2 linked regions of the Saccharomyces cerevisiae S288C genome follow. The protein of the gene in region 2 interacts with the protein of the main gene of each other region in a biochemical or structural test. Each region holds a gene or a part of one and is shown on either strand. Other genes may lie near its edges.

The links.
Region 1: the proteins of MHF1 (region 2) and SMC5 form a complex in vitro, tested with the Saccharomyces cerevisiae proteins (one study listed by BioGRID).

The regions. Positions count from the first base shown.
Region 1 is NC_001147.6:258,239-264,251, forward strand, and holds SMC5 (DNA repair ATPase SMC5), read left to right. Parts: upstream 1-1,684; coding exon 1,685-4,966; downstream 4,967-6,013. Other genes in the region: YOL036W (uncharacterized protein), read left to right, coding at 1-792; glutamate--tRNA ligase MSE1, read left to right, coding at 5,237-6,013.
Region 2 is NC_001147.6:157,401-159,945, reverse strand, and holds MHF1 (Mhf1p), read right to left. Parts: upstream 774-2,545; coding exon 501-773; downstream 1-500. Other genes in the region: alcohol dehydrogenase ADH1, read left to right, coding at 1-398; DUF1 (Duf1p), read left to right, coding at 1,309-2,545. UniProt on the Saccharomyces cerevisiae protein: dsDNA-binding component of a FANCM-MHF complex involved in DNA damage repair and genome maintenance. FANCM-MHF promotes gene conversion at blocked replication forks, probably by reversal of the stalled fork.

The sequences.
Region 1 (6,013 bases), 100 kb from region 2:
AGTCGAGCTTCGGAGGAGGTCTTAGTGTCCACTCCAAATGACACAGAACACGTCTACAGAAAGACATCTCTAGGTTCTAAGATAAAGAGAGGTTTTACTAGAATATTGAGCGACAGTAATAATAGTAAGGAAATTCTCACTTTATCACCCAAATCTATGGTGACTACGGGGCCTACAGAATTGTCGTTTTCCTCTTTATCAACCGTGGGAGGACATCCGACAACGCCAGTCTCAAAAGAAAATGATCGAGTTTCAATAGATGGCGTGAGTACATTTAATCGAGCATCAACATCTCTTCCAGAATCATCAACAGACGACATCTCTCCACTACGCGAAGAAGGTAAGATTAATGTTCCTAAAAGAACGTCAAGTAGAAAGATACTGTCTAAAAATTCAAGCAAAAAAAATGTACTGCCTGAACAGCAAACAAAGCCAAGTGAAATATATCTGGATAAAGAAGCCTTACAAAGTTTTGTTCCCGTACTCTCTGTCACAGAGGGTACTCATCGCATCAATCGCTCGTCGTTACAAACGCAATCTACCATCGGATTATGCATTACCAATTTAAGAAACAAAGAAGGCATGAAGCTCAATGCCAAGGAATACGTGGAAATCCTGGCTCAGCAGCAACGCAAGGAAGATGAAAGGTATGCTGTTTTGGAAAGAAAATTTGCATCTTGTAGATGGTGCAGTGATAAGGACCTGCAGTATTTGAAAAAGAAACGAATTTCCATGAATAAGATATGGTCTGATTATGTCCGATTTTACCGTGGAAAGTTGAACAACCCATGAAGGAAAAAGGTCTTGGCTATATATAACGGCAGACAAAATATAAGTATACACGTATATATGGTGGTAAACACGCATATACTGTATGCCATGTATTTACCATTACATAGTTATTTACGCACTCTATAAAAAGTTAACATTGCATTTTAATAAATTCCTTAAATTACTCTAATTAGGATGGTAGCCCTACCTTTTTTTTTTTTGGCACACATGGTCAACTTTTCTTCTCATGCTTTAAAAGGCGAGAAAAAATGAAAATTAGCAAAATGACCTTTCCCTCCTTCCCACATTGAATATATACACTGGAAGATATAAGCAACCAGTACTGTAGATAAAAAAGATCACTACGATATTCGTCGGACTCCAGTCGGAGTGCAGTGCCCGATTACTCTTAATTGCACGCATCGTGCCAAGTTTAATTGGTATTGCTCGAACATCTAGGAATAAGAGAAGGACTTACTTTAGAATGATGAAAGAGGTAGCAATTTGCAGCAGATTTTTCGTGATTGAATCAAACAAAGATTAACCTTTACAGAACCGCTACACTGATACTAATGTAAGAAACATTTCCTTTATTTTTTTTCTAGCCCGTAGTGTACTCTTATAGTTTTGATATTTCCTTTCTATCTTTGTAAATGTAAATAATCACATTTGTCTGACAACACACTTGTTGCCACTAATTATTTCAACAAGCTGGCATAGCTGATCTTATTAATCTTGTAGACCGTTCAGGATGACTGGGCTATATTATGGCGTTAACTTTCGCGTTGGATTACCTTTTTATGCGATGACAAGATGCCGATAATAGGTATTTACTTTCACAAGTACGTGTACGCAATTCTAAAGGAAGTATATCAAATAAAAGGGCGTGGTACATAAAAGCTATATCCCTAGCATGACCAGTCTAATAGATTTGGGCAGATATGTTGAAAGAACGCATCATGGAGAAGATACAGAGCCAAGATCGAAAAGGGTAAAAATCGCAAAACCTGACTTGTCTTCCTTCCAACCAGGCAGCATTATTAAGATCCGTTTACAGGATTTTGTTACTTACACTTTAACCGAATTCAATCTTTCACCGTCTTTAAATATGATCATTGGGCCAAACGGATCTGGAAAATCTACTTTCGTATGCGCAGTGTGTTTAGGATTGGCTGGTAAACCCGAGTATATTGGTAGGAGTAAAAAAGTGGAAGATTTCATCAAAAATGGTCAAGATGTTTCAAAAATTGAAATCACCTTGAAAAATTCACCAAATGTTACTGATATTGAATACATAGACGCACGTGATGAAACAATAAAGATTACCAGGATTATTACGAGATCCAAGAGGAGATCGGATTATCTAATAAATGACTACCAGGTATCTGAGAGTGTAGTTAAAACTTTAGTTGCTCAGCTGAACATTCAGTTGGATAATCTTTGTCAATTTTTATCTCAAGAGCGTGTTGAGGAGTTTGCTCGCTTGAAGTCAGTTAAATTATTAGTAGAGACTATAAGGTCAATCGATGCAAGCTTATTGGATGTGTTGGATGAACTAAGGGAATTACAAGGAAATGAGCAAAGCTTGCAAAAAGATCTCGATTTTAAAAAAGCTAAAATTGTTCATTTGAGACAAGAAAGTGATAAACTACGTAAATCAGTTGAATCTTTACGAGATTTTCAAAATAAGAAGGGTGAAATCGAGTTACACTCCCAACTATTACCTTATGTGAAAGTAAAGGACCATAAAGAAAAGCTAAACATATATAAAGAAGAATACGAACGAGCGAAAGCGAACTTAAGGGCTATACTGAAGGATAAAAAACCATTTGCAAATACTAAGAAGACTTTGGAAAATCAGGTGGAAGAGTTAACAGAGAAGTGTTCCCTAAAAACTGATGAGTTCCTGAAAGCAAAAGAAAAGATCAACGAAATCTTCGAAAAATTAAATACTATTAGGGATGAGGTCATCAAAAAGAAAAACCAGAACGAATATTATAGAGGAAGAACCAAAAAACTACAGGCCACCATTATTAGTACAAAGGAAGATTTTCTAAGGAGTCAGGAAATATTAGCACAAACACATCTTCCTGAGAAAAGCGTATTTGAAGATATAGACATTAAAAGAAAGGAAATTATTAATAAAGAAGGCGAAATTAGGGATCTTATTTCCGAAATTGATGCGAAGGCGAACGCTATTAATCATGAGATGAGAAGCATACAGAGACAAGCTGAAAGCAAGACCAAATCCCTTACAACAACTGATAAAATCGGTATCTTAAATCAGGACCAGGATTTAAAGGAGGTCCGTGATGCTGTGTTGATGGTTAGAGAGCATCCAGAAATGAAAGATAAAATTCTAGAACCGCCAATAATGACCGTGTCTGCCATTAACGCTCAATTTGCTGCATATTTAGCACAATGTGTGGATTATAATACGAGTAAAGCCTTGACTGTTGTTGATTCTGATTCTTACAAGCTATTTGCAAATCCAATTCTTGACAAATTCAAGGTTAATTTGAGAGAACTCTCCAGTGCAGACACCACCCCTCCTGTACCAGCGGAAACGGTGAGGGACCTGGGATTTGAGGGTTATCTATCCGATTTTATTACCGGTGATAAGAGGGTTATGAAAATGCTTTGTCAAACTAGCAAAATTCATACTATACCGGTATCAAGAAGGGAATTGACGCCTGCTCAGATAAAGAAGTTGATTACACCAAGACCGAATGGGAAAATTCTTTTTAAAAGGATTATTCATGGGAATAGGTTAGTCGATATCAAGCAATCAGCATATGGTAGTAAGCAGGTCTTTCCTACTGACGTTAGTATTAAACAAACTAATTTTTATCAGGGATCAATCATGTCAAATGAGCAGAAAATTAGAATTGAAAATGAAATTATCAACTTAAAGAATGAATACAACGATCGAAAATCTACGTTAGATGCATTGTCAAACCAGAAAAGTGGTTATAGGCACGAATTATCTGAGTTGGCGTCAAAAAACGACGATATTAATAGGGAAGCTCATCAATTAAATGAGATTCGCAAGAAGTACACTATGAGAAAAAGTACAATAGAGACTTTAAGAGAGAAATTAGATCAACTGAAACGTGAAGCTAGAAAGGACGTATCTCAAAAGATTAAAGATATTGATGATCAGATCCAACAACTATTACTCAAGCAAAGACATTTGCTGTCTAAAATGGCCTCTTCAATGAAGAGTTTAAAGAATTGTCAGAAGGAGTTAATAAGTACTCAAATCCTTCAATTTGAAGCCCAAAATATGGATGTTTCTATGAATGACGTAATTGGTTTTTTCAATGAGAGGGAAGCTGATTTGAAGAGCCAATATGAAGACAAGAAAAAGTTCGTAAAAGAAATGAGAGACACTCCTGAATTTCAATCATGGATGAGAGAAATCAGGTCTTATGACCAAGACACTAAGGAAAAATTGAATAAAGTGGCAGAAAAATACGAGGAGGAAGGGAATTTCAATCTGTCATTCGTTCAGGATGTTCTCGATAAATTAGAATCGGAGATAGCTATGGTAAACCACGACGAGTCAGCCGTAACAATTTTGGATCAAGTCACAGCCGAACTGAGAGAGTTGGAGCACACGGTTCCTCAGCAGTCGAAAGACTTGGAGACCATTAAAGCTAAATTAAAAGAAGATCACGCAGTTTTGGAGCCCAAATTAGATGATATTGTATCAAAAATCTCTGCAAGATTTGCGCGCTTATTCAACAATGTTGGGAGTGCTGGTGCGGTTCGTCTAGAAAAGCCGAAGGACTATGCTGAATGGAAGATAGAAATCATGGTAAAATTCAGAGATAATGCACCTTTAAAAAAGTTAGATTCCCACACGCAATCAGGTGGTGAAAGAGCTGTTTCTACAGTTCTTTACATGATTGCTTTGCAAGAGTTTACCTCTGCACCATTTAGAGTGGTTGATGAAATCAATCAAGGTATGGACTCTAGAAATGAAAGGATCGTTCATAAAGCTATGGTGGAGAACGCGTGTGCCGAAAACACTTCTCAATATTTTTTAATCACTCCAAAATTATTGACTGGCTTGCATTATCATGAAAAGATGAGAATACACTGTGTCATGGCTGGTTCTTGGATTCCAAACCCTTCTGAGGATCCGAAGATGATACATTTCGGTGAAACTTCTAACTACTCATTCGATTAATCTTTCACTATTGCATAATTAATTATACACATATAGATGTAAACATGTTTATAACCAAGACGTTTGGTCTCATCTAGCAAAAATGTCTTCTAGTGTCAGCTGTCTTACCTCACAAATGTAAGGCTTCACCAAATAAAGAACTAATTAAATAGAACGCGCTTAAGAAAAGCTGCAATAATTAATTTCTTATATTAAATTCGAGGCACCAAAGCAAGCAACCGCTACATGACAAAAATCTAATCTGGTACAGAAGAACTATAAAATAACAATATGATCATGTTGAGAATACCGACACGGTCTTATTGTTCACCTTCGAAGCTAATAAAGGGCGTAGGTCTCTCACCATTGAAGAAATCTCTGTTATCCAAGAAAATAAAGGAAGATATCCATCCTTCTTTACCTGTTAGAACTAGGTTTGCGCCTTCTCCAACTGGGTTTTTACACTTGGGGTCACTGAGAACAGCCCTTTACAATTACCTATTAGCAAGAAACACCAATGGGCAGTTTTTGCTTCGTTTAGAAGATACAGACCAGAAGAGGCTAATAGAGGGAGCAGAAGAAAACATCTACGAGATTCTGAAATGGTGTAACATAAACTACGATGAAACCCCTATAAAGCAAAGTGAAAGGAAACTAATATATGACAAATATGTAAAAATATTACTATCTTCTGGGAAGGCGTATAGATGTTTTTGTTCAAAGGAGCGATTGAACGATTTGAGACACTCTGCAATGGAATTGAAACCTCCTTCGATGGCAAGCTATGATCGATGTTGTGCACACTTAGGGGAGGAAGAAATAAAATCTAAGCTAGCGCAAGGTATACCTTTCACTGTGCGGTTTAAATCGCCAGAACGATATCCAACGTTTACTGATCTTTTACATGGACAAATAAATCTTCAACCGCAAGTAAACTTTAACGATAAACGGTACGATGACCTTATCCTTGTTAAGTCGGATAAGTTGCCAACCTATCATCTGGCAAATGTTGTGGATGACCATTTGATGGGAATAACCCATGTTATAAGAGGTGAGGAATGGCTGCCC
Region 2 (2,545 bases):
AAGTCTTCATTGACTTCACTAAGGAAAAGGACATTGTCGGTGCTGTTCTAAAGGCCACTGACGGTGGTGCTCACGGTGTCATCAACGTTTCCGTTTCCGAAGCCGCTATTGAAGCTTCTACCAGATACGTTAGAGCTAACGGTACCACCGTTTTGGTCGGTATGCCAGCTGGTGCCAAGTGTTGTTCTGATGTCTTCAACCAAGTCGTCAAGTCCATCTCTATTGTTGGTTCTTACGTCGGTAACAGAGCTGACACCAGAGAAGCTTTGGACTTCTTCGCCAGAGGTTTGGTCAAGTCTCCAATCAAGGTTGTCGGCTTGTCTACCTTGCCAGAAATTTACGAAAAGATGGAAAAGGGTCAAATCGTTGGTAGATACGTTGTTGACACTTCTAAATAAGCGAATTTCTTATGATTTATGATTTTTATTATTAAATAAGTTATAAAAAAAATAAGTGTATACAAATTTTAAAGTGACTCTTAGGTTTTAAAACGAAAATTCTTATTCTTGAGTAACTCTTTCCTGTAGGTCAGGTTGCTTTCTCAGGTATAGCATGAGGTCGCTCTTATTGACCACACCTCTACCGGCATGCCGAGCAAATGCCTGCAAATCGCTCCCCATTTCACCCAATTGTAGATATGCTAACTCCAGCAATGAGTTGATGAATCTCGGTGTGTATTTTATGTCCTCAGAGGACAACACCTGTTGTAATCGTTCTTCCACACGGATCCACAGCCTAGCCTTCAGTTGGGCTCTATCTTCATCGTCATTCATTGCATCTACTAGCCCCTTACCTGAGCTTCAAGACGTTATATCGCTTTTATGTATCATGATCTTATCTTGAGATATGAATACATAAATATATTTACTCAAGTGTATACGTGCATGCTTTTTTTACGGCAGCATTTTTTTTTCAACTCTGATCGCCCCTTTACTGCTCCCTCCGCCCAAATTCCATTGCAGTTCAAATGTATACTGAAAAAAACCCCATTGCTATTGTTAAACAGTGAACTCTCTTTTTGCCCAATAATAACATTATAACAAGTAACTACCAGCACCATAACACCGTGTCCTATCCTGGTATTAATTACTACTTGAAGAACGACTACATCGCTTTTTGCAACTACAATTAGAACGCTCCGCCCCTTCCTTTTGACGTCGTATAAGTGTAGTTGGATTGCAATTGCATAGATACAGGAATTAGTTCAAGCCATTCCTAACGAGGAAACGATACATTCTAGCAAATCTACGCTTTTCTGACTTTAGAAGAGCAAGCCAATAAAAAGCCGGAGAAAATAGAAAGGTAATAATGAATCAGTTGACAGTGAGTTATGGCCTAATTTCCCCAGATTACTGCACTTCCCAAGATGCGCACATCTTACCGATAACAAAGATTCTGTACCCGGATATACCTGGTAAAAACTATTTTCTTACTTCAGGAAGGGATGGTTCCATAATTTTGCACAAGAACACACAGCTCTCGAACGAGCCTGAGACTGCTGCAACTACCATAAAAAACGATGCGATAAGAATGCAAGTTCATAGCGATTGGGCAAGCGATCTAATACATGTTAATATGAAAAATTCAGACCCATCTGCAGGGGACACATTCATATCAGTAAGTCACGATTTTTCGATAGTATTAATTAGTGTGAATGCGCAGTTAACTACCTGGGATAAGAAAATAATCGGTGACCACGACGATTATATCAAGTGCATAGTGCCCATACATTATGAAATGTCAAATGACTATGAATTGGAAGAACAAGAGGGTGGTCCTGATAATGTACACGATGGAATAAATAATGGCATTGTTGTTGATGAACAGAACAACTTTCTTTTTGTGACAGGTGGTCTAGATAGAAAAATCAAACTTTGGTGCCTGAGCAGCGGGCCAGAAAAAATGGCTACGCTACTACACACATTTGATAATGCACAATCAAACGACACAGGCTCAATATACTCCATGAGTCCCATCATCCCAAAATACAGTTTTGATGACAATCAAACGTCTCGTCCCTTTGATTTTGTTGCCGGAGACTGTAATGGTGATTTGATTTTTTATTCGTGTAAATATCGTAAGGAGGTGATAAGAATTCAAAACGCCCACAGAACAAATATAAAAGTAGTAAGAACTCTTGATGACTCCACACGACTAATCAGTACCAGCTCAGATGGTGTAATAAATGTATGGGACTTGAATTGTAGGCATGATCAGACTACTGGTGCCCTTCAGCTTCCCAAAAAAATTGGATCTTGGTCCTGGGATTCTTCCATATGGTGTGTCCAAGGAACGAGCCTTGATAAGTTGTATTTTGGTGACTCTCAGGGCAATGTTATGAGAGCAAACTTATCCAGTTATGAAGATGCTAAACTTACAAGAATTTTCAAGCCTGATCATCACCACCATCATCATCATCACCATGAACACGAAGAGCAAAATATATCAACTACAGATGCGAAAGTAAAAAAATATGGTGGTATCCTTGATATTGCCCTTTTACCTAATGAAAAATTGTTGTTTTCTTTTTGTACTGACTCAAATC